Linked DNA regions of Saccharomyces cerevisiae S288C. Changing the gene in region 2 together with the main gene of any one other region gives a genetic interaction. Each region holds a gene or a part of one and is shown on either strand. Other genes may lie near its edges.

What was found.
Region 1: mutations in SKG1 (region 2) and NEW1 together harm fitness more than expected from each alone (negative genetic interaction), as found in Saccharomyces cerevisiae (2 studies listed by BioGRID).
Region 3: mutations in SKG1 (region 2) and PTK1 together harm fitness more than expected from each alone (negative genetic interaction), as found in Saccharomyces cerevisiae (2 studies listed by BioGRID).
Region 4: mutations in SKG1 (region 2) and ARD1 together harm fitness more than expected from each alone (negative genetic interaction), as found in Saccharomyces cerevisiae (3 studies listed by BioGRID, with this or other methods).

Annotation. Positions count from the first base shown.
Region 1 is NC_001148.4:119,750-125,861, forward strand, and holds NEW1 (New1p), read left to right. Parts: upstream 1-2,017; coding exon 2,018-5,608; downstream 5,609-6,112. Other genes in the region: CET1 (polynucleotide 5'-phosphatase), read left to right, coding at 1-282; ALG5 (dolichyl-phosphate beta-glucosyltransferase), read right to left, coding at 414-1,418.
Region 2 is NC_001143.9:638,350-641,921, reverse strand, and holds SKG1 (Skg1p), read left to right. Parts: upstream 1-1,953; coding exon 1,954-3,021; downstream 3,022-3,572. Other genes in the region: SIR1 (Sir1p), read right to left, coding at 1-1,382.
Region 3 is NC_001143.9:67,685-72,080, forward strand, and holds PTK1 (putative serine/threonine protein kinase PTK1), read right to left. Parts: upstream 2,537-4,396; coding exon 548-2,536; downstream 1-547. Other genes in the region: PEX1 (AAA family ATPase peroxin 1), read right to left, coding at 3,050-4,396. UniProt on the Saccharomyces cerevisiae protein: Essential determinant for low-affinity spermidine transport.
Region 4 is NC_001140.6:130,230-133,428, reverse strand, and holds ARD1 (peptide alpha-N-acetyltransferase complex A subunit ARD1), read left to right. Parts: upstream 1-1,982; coding exon 1,983-2,699; downstream 2,700-3,199. Other genes in the region: SPO13 (Spo13p), read right to left, coding at 507-1,382; retromer subunit VPS29, read right to left, coding at 2,981-3,199. UniProt on the Saccharomyces cerevisiae protein: Catalytic component of the NatA N-terminal acetyltransferase, which catalyzes acetylation of proteins beginning with Met-Ser, Met-Gly and Met-Ala.

The DNA.
Region 1 (6,112 bases), on a different chromosome or scaffold from region 2:
GACCGTGTTAGTTACATTCATAATGATTCCTGTACCAGAATTGATATTACAAAAGTCGAAAATCATAACCAAAATTCAAAAAGTAGACAATCAGAGACCACTCACGAAGTGGAACTAGAAATCAACACGCCTGCACTGTTAAACGCCTTTGATAACATAACGAACGATAGTAAAGAATATGCATCTCTTATTAGAACGTTTCTGAATAATGGTACAATTATTAGAAGAAAGTTATCGTCTTTATCATATGAAATTTTTGAAGGTTCAAAGAAAGTCATGTAATATTTGAATCATTTCAAAAAAAAATAAGCAAATGCCCTTGAGCGAGAAATTTTTTTTGTTTACTCAAATGCTGTTATGAAAGCTTATGTAATAATAATAATAATGATAATAATAACATAAAAATAATTACTCTAACATTTCTTATTATCTCTATATATCCCTAATAAATAGGCCATTCTTATAATAACCAAGTCTTTCGCCATTTTGATACTATCAATAGCTAAAGCCATCTTAGAGCCATCAACCTCATGCCAGGAAATTGGTATCTCCTCAATTTGGATTCTTTTTCTGATGGCTAAGATCAAAATTTCAACGTCAAAGATCCAACCCTCTGTATGCAAATACGGAAAAATTTTCAATATAGCGGCTCTGTTGAACAATTTGAATCCACATTGTGTGTCTTTGATAGACCTGATGCCGAAGATGAAAACTAAGGTATGGAAACCGTACATCAAGCAGTTTCTTATCATTGATCTCTTTATGACGGCTTCGGTATTTACCATATGTGCTCTGGAACCAATTGCTACTGCTGGTTTAGTCGTTTTTAGATCTGTACTAGACGTTTCAATTTTGCTAATAGCATCTATTAGTTTTTCTACATCACTGAACTTACTAGCACCATCAGCATCGGCAAAAAGACCATACTTACCTCTAATATGTAAAAAACCTTGTCTCACTGCGCCACCTTTGCCTCTGTTTTGAGAAAACTTGATGATTCTGAATTGTTCGTAGTTCAATTTGAACTGTTCTTTACAAATTTTCAAACAGTATTGTGTGGTATTATCTGTGGAACCATCATCCACTATGACAATCTCCCATCTGGAACCATATTTTTCCTTTAAAAAGCTGATTGCGTCTGTCAACATTAGTAAAATTCTACCTGTCTCATTATAGCTTGGGATAACAACAGATAAAAATATTTCTTCGTCATCTTGGTGTTCATTCAAGTTAGGTAAGGCACGACTAACTTCATGACCTTTTTCATCAATAGCTATGTATTTGAGCTCCTCTGGATATGGCGGCCTTGGTGTATGCGAAAATAAATAGACCAATAAATACAGTGAAAGCACCAAGGCTACTAAGAGCGTAAAAAAGACAGTGTTTCTGTTCTCAATCAGGAATCTCAACGCTCTCATTTTTGTTGTGCTTTGTGTAATTTTTGGCTGCCTCTCTGTTTTTGTCCCTTTCTTACGTTATCAAAAGCACCTAATCTATCCTTACAGCATCCAATTAGATACCACTACCTTTCCACAGTGACTATGGTCCTTTGTGCCACTTTAATTGCGATAAAGCCTTGAAAATTGGCACGTTTTCTTCTTGTTTACACTTTTTTTCGAATACGCCAAATTTCGCTTTCTCATGAAAAAAATGGCATACACTGCTTCGAAAGATACAACAGAGCCATGTGCATTAATATATATAAATTAAAAGGTACTGAAGTGATAACGGTGAAAATAGGATAACTATGTACACTTGACTTTGGACTTGTTAGTTGTGACTAGTATAGAAGTTACAAGATCAAATGGAATAAACCCAAACACCACATCTAATTTTTCAATGGAAAAAGAAAAGTTTCAAGGTGGAAAAAAAATTTTCAGCAGCATCGCAATAAATGTTAAAAAATAATAATATATTGCAACCTATTTAAGATAATACATATGCGTCGATCTATAGTGCATAATTTATATCTTGTAAACTGTAAATACAACGACAATCAGTGCTAATTCAACTCAGGATGCCTCCAAAGAAGTTTAAGGATCTAAACTCTTTCCTTGACGACCAACCAAAGGACCCAAATCTAGTCGCTTCTCCCTTCGGTGGTTATTTTAAAAACCCTGCTGCTGATGCCGGTAGTAATAACGCTTCCAAAAAAAGTAGCTACCAACAACAGCGTAATTGGAAACAGGGGGGCAACTACCAACAAGGTGGTTACCAATCGTATAACAGTAATTACAACAATTACAACAACTACAACAACTACAACAATTATAACAACTACAATAACTATAATAAATACAATGGCCAGGGCTATCAAAAATCTACTTACAAACAATCGGCTGTGACGCCCAACCAAAGTGGAACTCCAACTCCATCTGCTTCTACTACATCTTTGACCTCTTTGAATGAAAAGCTGTCGAACTTAGAGTTAACACCCATCTCTCAATTTTTGTCAAAGATACCTGAATGTCAAAGTATCACTGATTGCAAAAATCAAATCAAACTAATCATTGAAGAATTTGGCAAAGAAGGTAACAGTACGGGTGAGAAAATTGAAGAGTGGAAAATCGTCGATGTTCTATCTAAATTCATCAAACCTAAGAATCCATCATTAGTTAGAGAATCTGCCATGCTAATAATTTCCAACATTGCTCAATTTTTCAGTGGAAAGCCACCACAGGAAGCATACTTGCTACCATTCTTCAATGTCGCACTTGACTGTATTTCAGATAAAGAGAATACAGTCAAACGTGCCGCGCAACATGCCATTGATTCTTTGTTGAATTGCTTTCCAATGGAGGCTTTAACCTGTTTTGTACTGCCTACGATTTTGGATTACTTATCATCTGGTGCCAAATGGCAAGCTAAAATGGCCGCTCTAAGCGTTGTAGATAGAATAAGAGAAGATTCGGCGAACGATTTATTGGAACTTACTTTCAAAGATGCAGTTCCAGTTTTAACCGATGTAGCAACTGATTTCAAACCTGAATTGGCCAAACAAGGTTACAAAACTTTATTGGACTACGTTTCTATTTTGGATAACTTAGATTTGTCTCCTCGTTATAAATTGATCGTGGACACCCTGCAAGATCCATCTAAGGTTCCTGAATCTGTAAAATCGTTATCCAGTGTTACATTTGTCGCTGAAGTTACGGAACCTTCACTATCTTTGTTAGTTCCTATTCTAAACAGATCTTTAAACCTATCGTCATCATCTCAAGAGCAATTAAGACAAACCGTTATTGTCGTGGAGAATTTGACAAGATTGGTGAATAATCGTAATGAAATTGAAAGCTTCATCCCTCTACTACTACCCGGTATCCAAAAGGTTGTTGATACTGCGTCCTTACCTGAAGTTCGTGAATTGGCTGAAAAGGCCCTTAACGTTCTAAAAGAAGATGACGAAGCTGATAAGGAAAACAAATTCTCAGGCAGACTGACTTTAGAAGAAGGTAGGGATTTCTTACTTGATCACCTCAAGGACATTAAAGCTGATGATTCCTGTTTTGTCAAGCCTTACATGAATGACGAAACTGTTATCAAGTATATGAGCAAGATTTTGACCGTGGATTCTAATGTGAACGACTGGAAAAGACTTGAAGATTTTTTGACCGCCGTTTTTGGTGGTTCAGATTCACAAAGAGAATTTGTCAAACAAGACTTTATCCATAACTTGAGAGCTTTATTCTACCAAGAAAAGGAAAGGGCAGATGAGGACGAAGGTATTGAGATTGTCAACACTGATTTCTCCTTAGCTTATGGTTCAAGAATGCTTTTGAACAAAACAAATCTTCGTCTCCTAAAGGGTCATCGTTACGGTTTGTGTGGTAGAAATGGTGCTGGTAAGTCTACTTTAATGAGAGCAATTGCTAATGGTCAATTGGATGGTTTTCCTGACAAGGATACATTACGCACCTGTTTCGTCGAACATAAATTGCAAGGTGAAGAAGGTGATTTAGACTTGGTTTCCTTCATTGCTTTAGATGAAGAACTGCAATCTACTTCTCGTGAGGAAATTGCAGCCGCTTTAGAATCTGTCGGTTTTGATGAAGAGAGAAGAGCACAAACTGTTGGATCTTTATCTGGTGGTTGGAAAATGAAGTTGGAATTGGCAAGAGCTATGTTACAAAAAGCTGATATTTTATTGCTGGATGAACCTACCAATCATTTAGATGTTTCGAACGTTAAATGGTTAGAAGAATACTTACTGGAACATACTGATATTACTTCATTGATTGTTTCGCATGACTCTGGTTTCTTAGATACAGTCTGTACTGACATCATCCATTATGAAAACAAGAAATTGGCTTACTACAAAGGTAACTTGGCAGCATTTGTTGAGCAGAAACCTGAAGCTAAATCTTACTATACCTTAACAGATTCTAATGCTCAAATGCGTTTCCCACCCCCAGGTATTTTAACAGGTGTTAAGTCTAACACTAGAGCCGTCGCTAAAATGACTGATGTAACTTTCTCTTATCCAGGTGCCCAAAAGCCTTCCTTAAGCCATGTCTCCTGTTCATTGTCTCTGTCTTCTCGTGTGGCTTGTTTAGGTCCTAACGGTGCTGGTAAATCCACTTTGATCAAGCTATTAACTGGTGAATTGGTTCCAAATGAAGGTAAAGTGGAAAAACATCCAAATTTACGTATTGGTTATATTGCTCAGCATGCATTGCAACACGTCAATGAACATAAGGAAAAGACGGCAAACCAATATTTGCAATGGCGTTATCAATTCGGTGACGACCGTGAAGTCTTATTGAAGGAATCCAGAAAAATATCCGAAGATGAAAAGGAAATGATGACAAAGGAAATCGACATTGATGACGGTAGAGGTAAGAGAGCCATTGAAGCTATTGTAGGTAGACAAAAGTTGAAAAAATCTTTCCAATATGAGGTCAAATGGAAATACTGGAAACCAAAATACAACTCCTGGGTTCCAAAAGATGTTTTGGTCGAGCATGGCTTTGAAAAATTGGTTCAAAAATTCGACGATCACGAAGCCTCCAGAGAAGGGTTGGGTTACCGTGAATTAATTCCTTCAGTTATCACCAAACATTTTGAAGACGTTGGTCTTGATTCTGAAATTGCTAACCATACTCCATTAGGTTCTTTATCTGGTGGTCAATTAGTTAAAGTCGTTATTGCCGGTGCTATGTGGAACAACCCTCATTTACTTGTTTTGGATGAACCTACCAACTATTTGGACAGAGACTCTCTTGGTGCTTTGGCCGTTGCTATTCGTGACTGGAGTGGTGGTGTCGTTATGATTTCGCATAATAACGAATTTGTTGGTGCTTTATGTCCTGAACAATGGATTGTGGAGAACGGTAAAATGGTTCAAAAGGGCTCTGCACAAGTTGACCAATCCAAATTCGAAGATGGTGGTAATGCTGATGCCGTTGGTCTAAAGGCCTCCAACTTGGCCAAGCCATCTGTAGATGACGATGATTCTCCAGCTAACATCAAGGTCAAGCAAAGAAAGAAGAGATTGACAAGAAATGAAAAGAAGCTGCAAGCCGAACGTCGTCGTCTACGTTACATTGAGTGGTTGTCATCGCCAAAAGGTACACCAAAACCAGTTGATACTGACGATGAAGAAGATTGAAAGCCTACTGGCTAGTGTTTTATCTTCGCTAACTTCGTTTGTTTCACTCCATCTTTTTTCTTTAATTCACTCCTCAAATGGAGTTTACTACGTTGATAGAATTTAGGACAAGCATATGACGCTCTCCTTCCTTTTTTGTTTTCTAGGTTAATTCATTTTTCATACAGAGTAGTTAATATTGGTTCTTTTCATATATGTACGGTACGCAGATTAATTATGTAAACTTAAACTTAAGGGATCCTTTTTGATGCTAACAATTGTCGATGTTGAACTACAAATTTATGTAAGAGGTCGTTGTTAAGGATTATTATTTTAAAAATACACGAAGATTGATTATTATTTCTTACATGAGGTTATGAATCGTGCTCCAAAAGTATACCAAAAATAACTCCTGAACTGCTAGGCACAGTTTGCGATAATTTAAAGGGGTTAAATACACTTTTACTACTGGCTTTCACCTTATAAATCCCTCATTAAACTAAAGATGAATGAACATTGTTGAAG
Region 2 (3,572 bases):
GTACTAAACTTTTTTTCAGCTGCCCACATATTTTCCATTTGTTTTATCAGAGTAATCAAAAGGTCTTCCTTAATAAGTTCGAGTGTAATTTTATATTCTTCAATGCTCTGGTAATATTCCTTATCAAAGCTAGCCTGCATCTCAGGATTCGCCTGAAAAGTATCCCTTATCTCTTCTAAAGATTGTGTGGTTTTTTCTATGCATATTTTTTCCAACCTTCTTGCCAATTCTTCAACAAGTTCAATATAATTTTTATCTTGACCAGCAGACATCAACAGTAAGGTGACTCTGGACACAGGAAATTTCGAAATTTGATCTAGGACCTCGCTAGAAACCTTATTCACCCTGATATTATTTTTTTCCTTTTGACTATTAAATTGCGTATGCACATTCTCTATTTGAGAAATATCTGCTGAGATCTTTCTTTTTACAACCTCTGCTTCAGTAAACTGCTGTTTTTTTATGTCTGAATAATCCAGGTTGGAGATAGTATTCTCCACAATTGGCTTTTCCCTGACAATAAACCTATAATCGTTATTTTTACTTTTGAATGAATCTGGGGCTGTTGAATTTGATATGGCATATGCAATATGTGTTGCTTTGGCAGTTGTCGTTCTCTTCACACGATACCACAGTGGAGCCTTACCGCATTTTCCATTTTCCATTACTTTACAAAATTTAACAAATACCCTCTTTCCTAATAATTGAAATAGCAGATCATCCTTTACAAAATAAAAATTTGAATTCAAACTATAAAGTATGTCAAGGCTTACCGGATTGTAAGTTTTTCTTAAATGGGCCCATTTTGTTAAGCCAACCTGACTCCTCAAATTGTTATCGTTCCACCTATAGAGCCTCCTTTCATTTAAGTATAGAAGGAAGCCCTCAATTATAATGTATTGATGACTAACATTGATCTCAATAAGGGGATACTCCCGATCAGGGTTTACATCCAATGAAAATTCACATACCCCCGCTAAGGGCTTTTCTTTATCTTTTAGCATCGGATGTATGTACACGGTGCCCCATTTTGGTAAATATAACCTGCAGCATTTACAAGTTAATTTCTTGACAACTTTGTAACGTAATTTGCTTCTGATCCTCTTCAGAATTATTCTTCCATCTTCTAACAAGAAAAACTCTCGCAAAACTAGCTTTATGTGTTTAAATAGTTCCATAGATTTCACTCCAACGAGCACCGAATTAGAATCCTTCTTTAATCGCGTCCAGTCCACCAAGTTTTGTTGTGATAGCTTTTTGTAGTCATCGTCATTGGGTAACAGTAATCTTACTTCAGGACTCCGAAAATTTATTGGTTTTCGCTTCACAGTGTCTACCAGCCATCCATCAATAACTGCAAGCCTGGAGTTGATCTGTAGCATTTTTTTTGATATTATCTTATAATTTTTCAGCTGCTTATAACGACGTGTGATTATTGACATTATTGTTCTCATTCTTATATTACTCAATATACATTCCGGGTCACATGTGCCCAAATTCTCGCGACAAACTTTTCGAGGCCGATATTAATAAACCATAGAAAAAGTACTGATCCTCGAAATCAGAGTTAAAGACTTTTAGAAGATTGGAAGTAAGGAATCCACCATTCGCTTGAGGTTTCGGGTTAGAAATTCTTTGCCTACCATTCGTTGCAAGCCTCTTTAGATTCTGCTTGCTGACTCGCTCGCTATTTGTTCTTTTTCAACAGAAAGCATAGACTTATTATTGTGACTAAGGATCAGTTATCGTTTGCCTGCTCGGGACAATTAAAACGAATATCTCTAAGTTGGATATTTTATACTGTGAGGCAGTTTTTGTACTGAGTTATTGAGTATTAGACAAAATTTCGAGTCCTTATTTTACTCTTCACCTAGGTCCGGCTTCTTAGTTTTGTGTTATTTATCAGGGATATATTTTTTTTTTGGGAGCTCATCGTAGTAAGAAGTAAAAGAGATGACTGCCAGCACATCAGTTGCGGTGGGTTGTGCGGTGGGTATACCCGTCGGTGTAGGTATTATAATAGCAGTATGTTTCTGGTTTAACCTACAAAAAAGATACAAGAGGGAGGAACAAGACGATAGAGAATTGGAAAGGGCTATTTATGATGAAAGTGGTTTCGTGTCCTTTGACAATTTTGGACCCTTAAGAGACAGTAAAGATGAAGCAGCACTAGCCAGCTCCGAGCTAAAAAATCCTGATCACACTTCTGGTTCATCGGAAGGATCTGCTCATCCAGAAGAAAAAGATGGAAAATCGCGAGATCAAGAGAAACCGTTAGGGAAAAAGAATAGTAAATACTATGTGCCAGCATACCGTAGGAAAATAAATTTACTTCAAGTACGAAATAATAACTACGGCAATAATGCCAGGCAGAAGTCCGTTGTGGATTTACCAAGTATAAATAACAGCTCCAATGTTTCCTTATCATCTTCCCAACGGCATATAACAAAGAGACAGATCAGCGTTTATGATCAGATGGTCCCTGTTATTTCTGATGAAGGACCAAACTTTTTCGCAGATCCTTCCAGTGATACTAATACTAGCAATGACCAAAACAAAGCTTCGATGATAGAACTTAAACATAATACTCGCCAATCTAGTAATGAAAATCTGATAAGAAATTTGCAGAATCAGGACTTTGGTTCGTATTACCCAAGGAGAGCTTCATCCTCGTTTTTAAATGGTAACATTTCAAACGCGTCCTTCCATACAAGGAATTCCTCTATAACATCGGTAAATAAGCGCGATGCCCTAGAGGATGTGTTTGCAACACCCAAAAGTGCGGCTCAATCACAGTTACCAAACACTTTTGATAAAGATAACGAAGGAATGGATGCTGACCACTCGGTAAAGGATAGCAGGTCTGCAATAACAGATAAAGATAAGGATTTATACAAATTACAGAATAACTATGATGTGGGCAATATCGGGGAAATTGCTGAGGAAGATCAATACGAAAACGAATTTACCAACTACTCACAGAGTAAGAGAGAGTTCATAGAAAGTCTAAGGCCTAAATAGTACTGTTGATATACTAAACATTATATTATAGTTAAAAAAAGAAGAAAAAAAGAGGAACAATTCTATTAAATTCACTTCAAACATCAAACGTAAACAATACAAACAGAACTCTTCATGGATGATGGGTTTTAAAAAATTAGTCAAGACATAATTCTTAAAGTTCATAGTCTCATTTTTCATTTTCTTTTTGCCTGCTTTCTCTTTTATACATCGCCGCATAATTTACTAAACGCCCTTTGTGTTTGTGGGCGGAAAGAAATATATTCCCTTAAAATTTCCAGGAAATTATGTTGCTACAATGACTTATAAAGGGAAAAAATAAGAAGAGAAATCTTGGAAGAATACCCTAGTAAAATAGTGTACAAGGCAAAGTTCTTAATTATGCAAAATCGCCGTATATGAAATAGAACAACTTTTTATACAGCTTAAATACAGAATTCAAGTATGTTAATCAACATGAAAGAAAAAAAAAAAAAAATGCGAGTCATGAAACTACACGTTTTTTTCAGAGAATATTATCCATCTTGTGCTATGTATAATATACACTTATG
Region 3 (4,396 bases), 570 kb from region 2:
CTCGAGAGCTGATATCAAATTTGAAGCCACGCAAGTAACTACGTAGGTCAGAGGGCACAAGGAATAACACGTGACATTTTTCTTTTTTCTTTTTTTTTTTTTTTTTTTTTTTTGTTAGTCTTGGCTTCTGTGCCGTAGTCTGTATACGGTTTTAGATGCGGTATGTTTATCATCGCCCAGAAATTTGCGGGGTGCAAAGAAATAAAATCCGTGCTGAAACCCGTGCTGAAATCCGTGCACCGCATCAAATTTTCTCGGAGGATTCTTTGCGCCGGTTTTCATTTTCTTCCACGGAATACCAAGCCCATTGCATCGCGATGTTAGTTTAGCGGAGTTTCTTGGCATTGGCAAATCTCTGCTAAATGCTGCGTACAGACGGAAACTCACACCGCCGCGAAGACTGGTCAGTGGCAAAAAAAAAATAAAAATATAGAAAATAACTATTACGTATGTTACTGTTTCTGGTAGTTGATATGAAGTTGGAGTTGTATATTGTACGCTTTAGGAACAGGGAAGTGAATATTATTTACTCTGCTGCACATTCTGGCTAGGTCGAAGCCGGAACTTGAGAAGACGCCGCGCTAGAACTATGGACCAAGCTGTTGACAATGTTCAGATGGTGATGCACTACCCTGTGCGGGGAGTGGCCACGGACGCGAGCGGAAGGTGCGGAAGGTGCGGAAGGTGCGGGAGTTGCGGGAGGTTCTTCGCTAAGCGTGAGGGTTGCTAGCTGGGGCGGCGGGGTTTCCCTAAGTGTAAATAAGGCCTCGGCTGGCACATGAGTCGCCGGAGGAGGCGGCGGAGGCGACGACGCTAAAACCGTGGCCGTTGGGGAAGGATGGGCGGCTATATCTACCATTGACCTGATGGGGACTCGGTTCTTAAGGAATGGGTTTGAGGTGGGTGTGGTTGCAGCAACATCTGTAGCGATATGGAAACCCCGCGGATTCTCGTACGTAGTGGTTTTGATAATAGGTTTCTTACACACATATTTGTCGTTGGCATCAACACAAGTCTCAATTCCTTGGAACCATGGGTCTTCGAAGAGGTCGTCGATGGTGTAGCGGGTGGCGGCTTCTGGGTCAGCGAGCCGCCATGCCACGCGAGATGCATGTCCGTTCTTGAAATTTCTAGCCAAGTGATACTCCATTCCCGGCCCCGGGCGGTAATTGCCGCGATTGCGGAATGCGCGATCGTGAAGACGGATAAAGTTTTCATAAGCGTCACAGTAATCGCGGAAACCAGTGTCGAAGCTGCAGGATTCCAAAAATGGAATGACGTTGTTGACGAGGGTCATGAGGATAATACCCAGGCCATAACAGTCTAGAGCGCGTGGGTCATACGGCTGTTGCAATTCCGTATCGTAGTGCTTCTTGGAGTCGTAGAACATGACCTCCGGGGGAGCATACGGCGGCGAGCCGATCATCCCTGCGCACTTCTTGACAGGGCTGGACAGGTCGTGTGGATCCGTGTGGTACCAGTCTGAGATACCAAAATCTGTCAGCTTGCACACGCCGTCCGGGGATAGCAGTACATTTTCCGGTTTCAAATCACGGTGGGCGATGCCCTGATCGTGGCAAAACTTGACACCACACGCCACCTGTTTGAATATACAAAACTTTTCTGCTAGGGCCACGCTGCGCCAGCCCGATTTTTGTATCATCGCGAACAAATCTCGTAGACCTAGCTCCATGACGAACCCCCACCCGCGAGTGGTGTAGACGGTGGTGGGCACCTTGACTAGAAGGAAAGTATTTGTGATGTGAACATGATGACTTAGCTGCTTTGCGATGATAAACTCCTTTGAGCAGCGCTTGTAGAATTTCTCGGGCGTTTCATTATAGATCATATTGAGCTTCTTTAGAGCAAATACGTCCTTCTTGCGGTACTTGGAGCGGATCTTGCGCACTTCGCACGAACCGCCCCATCCGATGGTCTTATTCTCATCATCAAAGACGAAGTTATCGCTCAACTGGATGCTTGCCTCCTTCATCTCGTCGGGCAGATACTCGTTTGGGTCCACAATTGGGATCGGCAGCATGCGGATTTTGGAATCCCCATCGTGAAGGTAGAAGCCCAGATCAGGGTCTTTCTTCATGGAGGTAGAGACGGACGAGAGTGACGTGCTTGGGGTTGAGACGCCGTATGGATTGTACACTAATCGTTCGCTACTGAACTTGGAGTTTGAGAGATTACGCGAAGTGGACGAATGTCTGTTTCCTCTTGAGATGGACGTGCTGGAGCCGGCCGGAGGTAGGATCTTGGTTGAGGCGGAAGATAAAGATCTCTTGCTGTTGGTTGTGTGAGCGAAAGAGTTTGCACGGCGAGAGGTTTTCAACGAATTCGGCAGTTTTGGGCTGGAGGATTCGCTGTCATTAGTACTTGTAGAGTGGAAGTCTGGAGGTAGAGACGCCTTTTTCTTCAACTTGTTCCCATGGCTTGAACTTAACAGCTTCTTTCCGAAGAACTTAAATGCTGATACCGAGGAGATTGGTTGTTGGGATATCTTCGTAGAATGATTGTGTGAGACTGTCATTGGTTGGTGGTGCGATTTAATGCGTATGCTTGCCTGTGGCGTTAAAATGGTCTATACGTTTATGCTAATATTTCTTGATGTAATGCAGGGCCTATGAATACATGGAGGTTTGTTGCCGGTGGTATACGGTTGAAAAAAAAAAGAAATAGATATATATATATTTCTTCTTTGTATAGACTTCTGCGAGAAAAAGAAAAGATAAGGAAAAATGAAAAAAAAAGCGTATAGGTGCTAAGAAGAATTAAGTATCAAAAGGTAGCAGGCATTTATGTTATATATGCAACTTCGGATTTCGTTCAATACATCTTGACCGGTCTCCACTGTTACTGGCATATTTCTCGGGTTTTTCCTTTTCACCACAAGGGAAAAAAAATGCGTTATGTAATTTCACCAATATTTTTCCCGTCCTGCGTGCTCGCACAATACAATAGGGTCATGTCACGTAATAAGCAACGTGCGCCGCATTTTTTGCCCTTTAAAGGGAAACGCGCTTTGTTCTTTTCTTCTTCCTTTTCACATAAGGGAGAGTCGGCTACCAATGTCGATGGAATTCTCACCATTGGGCATCTCACCGTTCCTATCCTTCTGGAACCTATCGTAAATCCCCCTTAATTTGACCAACTCACTTGTTGAAATACTAGGTTTTGTCTCTTGACAGGCTTCCAATAAATCGTTTATTGTGACCACAGCTGTCAGCTCAGAAGCAGCTGAAGTGCTTGTCTTTGTCTCGTGCACCACATCTTGCTGCAATAGAGTCTTTAGCCGTAGTCTATTTTCTTCTCTACGCCCGTGCTCATTGATACTGAAGTATTCTATATTATCATTGCCGGGTACCACTTCCGATTGGTCTGCAGCAGACAGCCACCTATGTACAGATTTCAAATAAGCATTGTAGCAGAGCCCCTGTAAATCAGCACCCGAAAAACCAGCTGTCTTTTCAGCGATCAACTTCAAGTCTGCATTTTTCTCCAATGCAAATTTTTTTTGTCCCGTATCCTTGTCTTTTGAATTGACGATAGCTTGCAAGATATCTAACCTCTCTGATTCAGTCGGTATATTACAGATCACACTTTTGTCTAATCTTCCCGGTCTTAACAATGCGCTATCAATCAAATCAGGTCTACTTGTAGCTGCTAGTATATATACACCATCAAGGCCCTCGGCACCATCCATTTGGGTCAATAATTGATTGACTACACGGTCTGTGACACCAGTGGAGTCATGCCCTCTCTTTGGCGCAATAGAATCGAACTCGTCAAAAAATAGAATACAGGGTTTGACGGACTGTGCCCTTTCAAACAATTCTCTTATGTTTTGTTCGCTGGCACCTATAAACTTGTTTAAAATCTCTGGTCCCTTAACGGAGATAAAGTTTAACCCACATTGTTGTGCCACGGCGCTCGCCAGAAGCGTTTTACCACAACCAGGATAACCGTAAAGCAAGATTCCTGATCTCAATCTTAGGGGACAATTAACGAAAATAGGCTCATATTTTGTGGGCCACTCTAAGGTTTCTAGAAGGACATCTTTGGCATTTGCTAAAGCACCAATATCCCCCCATTTGATGTTCGTTTCTTTTGTTAGCTTTACTCCACGCAACGCAGATGGTGTAAACGCACTAAGCGACTTCGAAAAAAGTTCCCTTGTTACAACATTATCACAATCTCTTTCCAACTGCAAGTCGTAGAAAATCTTTTCTGTGAATATTTCCAAATCTAGTGGCGAAAATCCTTCTGTCTCCAACGACAAATCACTGAATTGCAAATCTCGATTTAGTTTCATGATCTGGTTTTTCGAGAAAAAATACTCCAGTAACTTCGCTCTTGCATGTTTGTCAGGTGCTCTCAAAGACCACGTCTC
Region 4 (3,199 bases), on a different chromosome or scaffold from region 2:
GCAATCGCATACACATAAAAGAAGCCGAAATATTTTATCAAATACAATAGAAGCTAAAAGCAAGAATTGATAATGTAATAGGATAAAGTAATATAGTTATGGAGATTTATCGACGCCTTTTTGTGGATTCCAAGACCCTCGAGAAGAACTTCTAGTATACTCTGTGTACGAATATTATAGCCTTTCTTCAACAATGGATTTCAAACAATTATCCAATTATTCACCCAAAATTTAATATAAAACATACAAGGATTGCAATTTCAATTGACTTATACTAAGGCATAAGATCCTGATATTATGCTTACGACTTATATAATAAGTGGCAACTTGGCCGAGTGGTTAAGGCGAAAGATTAGAAATCTTTTGGGCTTTGCCCGCGCAGGTTCGAGTCCTGCAGTTGTCGATAATTTTTTTAAAAAAAATTGTGGAAATTTTGTCATTCAGTATTAAAGATTTTCTATGCAATAAACTAATTAACATTCTACAGAAAAAGTAAACTAATCTTTTTAATTAAGGGAAGACTCACTATCATTATAAGTTGCATTTTGTCCACTAGACTCATAATCGGAACAATTAACATCCAATGTATTTGAAAGTCTCTTTTTACTTAACTTTGGTGCTGCCCTTGGTGTCTCTTGGCCAACAAAATCTCCGTTATTAGAAATCGAGACCGGATATATTGGAAGATATTGGTAATTTTTTTCTTTATCTAGACTTTTGGTCTGATGGGGCAGTCTTGTTTTCTTAAACAATGGCGAATCGTATACGTTAACATTCGGATAAAGCAACTCCGGCCGTTGGATGGGAATGGCATAGTTTAGGTTTGGGTTATGACTTGGCGTCAGGAACGTTGGGTTTCCAACGAAATTTTGATACGGGCTAAAATTATACATAGGAGAAGGAGCAATATAGTAAGGAACTGGAAACATGGGTGCTTCTCTTTCTACATTTATTTGAGAAGATTGAGAAAGAACCGGCGTTGAAGTAGATTTTGGAGGCTGCTCAATGTCCTCGAACCTTAAGGAATTATCAAATGAGGGGCGCTCTATTGTTTGTCTTTCGTTTTTCAAGGTATTGCTTGATTTATTTTTCAAATATCGAACATCTCCAGCCTTTGAGTACTGTTGAGCATCACTTACAAAATTTAATCCTGGATGTGGGCTTTCTAGTCTTAAATCGACATGTTTCGAATTGAATATATTTTCTGATTCTGTTTTTTTTGTTTTTCTGATTTCCTTATTCTTGATTTCTTTACCAATTTTAAAAGCAAGTGGAGAAACTCGCAAGTTTGGGGTCTTCTCTTGAAGAGGTTTTTGAACTTTCCTTTTAGAATGTGTTGGTGACCCTAATTCGAGTAGCCTAAAGCGTTTTCTGGGTGCCATAATTATTCTCGACTCAACTTCAATCCGTTTTCTTTCTTCTTATTGCGCTAATTGTCTGTTAGACACTTTTATGAGACTTCCTTTTTGTCGGCGGCTATTTCTCAATATACTCCTAATTAATACATTTCCGTGCAAAGGTACTAACTAGCTAAACGGATACTAAAGAATTCAAATGTGAATTTAAGCATAACTGCAGGTAAATCAAGAAGCTTGAATATTATACTGTAGTCAAAAATTAGATGTGTAAATACTGTGTATTATAATTCTGAAGTTTATTCAGAAAATATCATGGAACAAATGATACGCTGAAGTGCCTTCTGCCCGGAGATAAAGAATTCATAAAGTATAATCTCCATGAGACTTCCAGGACAAATATTTTCTCTTAAAGCGCTTGCTTTAGTAGTATTGCATCCAATGCTAATTTGTCTTTATTGATCTCTAGGCTCAATCCTCACTTTCTCGCGTCAATTGGTTTTTTGAACAGAAAAAAAAAGCACCGTCTGAAAAGTTTGAAACCTTTTGTCAGCAACGAGTAATTGCCAAGTGAAAAGGGAAACCTAAATACATACGATCAAGCTCCAAAATAAAACTTCGTCAACCATGCCTATTAATATTCGCAGAGCGACAATCAATGACATTATATGTATGCAAAATGCCAACCTTCATAACCTACCCGAAAATTATATGATGAAATATTATATGTATCATATTCTCTCGTGGCCAGAGGCTTCGTTTGTTGCTACTACCACCACTTTGGACTGTGAAGATAGTGATGAACAAGATGAGAACGACAAATTGGAATTGACCTTAGATGGGACCAATGACGGCAGGACAATCAAGTTGGATCCAACATACTTGGCTCCGGGCGAAAAATTAGTTGGATACGTTCTCGTGAAGATGAACGACGACCCCGACCAGCAAAACGAGCCACCAAATGGTCATATTACTTCCTTAAGTGTCATGAGAACCTATAGAAGGATGGGGATTGCCGAAAACTTAATGAGACAAGCTTTATTTGCGTTGAGAGAAGTTCATCAAGCGGAATATGTTTCCTTGCATGTGAGACAATCTAATAGAGCAGCTTTACACTTGTACAGGGACACATTGGCGTTTGAGGTGTTGAGTATCGAGAAAAGCTACTATCAGGATGGTGAAGATGCATACGCCATGAAGAAGGTTTTAAAATTAGAGGAGTTGCAGATAAGCAACTTCACCCATCGCCGTTTGAAAGAGAATGAGGAAAAACTAGAAGACGATCTAGAAAGCGATCTACTAGAGGATATCATTAAGCAAGGCGTAAATGATATCATTGTATAATTAAATCAACCTATATAAACGTAGTATATTTTCATCCAGGCTTCTTCACAAGCTCTGTTAGCTCTTTTTGAGCACGGTTCTAAACACTGCAGTGCTAATTCGGTAGAATTGTGTGAGCATGAATAGTAAGGAAACTGTGCATGCAAGCTTTCTTTTTTTATATATGTAATATCCGGCAGATAGGATATCTTAATTACATCTATCTCGTCTGCAAGAAAAAGTTCACGAATGCATCTAATGTTTAGACATCATAGAAATGCATAAAAATGAAAATGGCTACCCTATTCCTTTTCATAAACCACTTTATCGACCTTCACTTCTCCATTAACGTATAAATAAATGTATAACGTGCAGGTATTGCCTTGAATATCCAAGAGGCAGAAACTTGGTGAATTAGACCCATTTATATCCGAATCTGACATATCAACCTCGTCTTCCTTAAATTGGTTTTCAGGCTTAACGTTGCTTTCATTCTCATTCTCACGTTCCCCAGCAGTGCC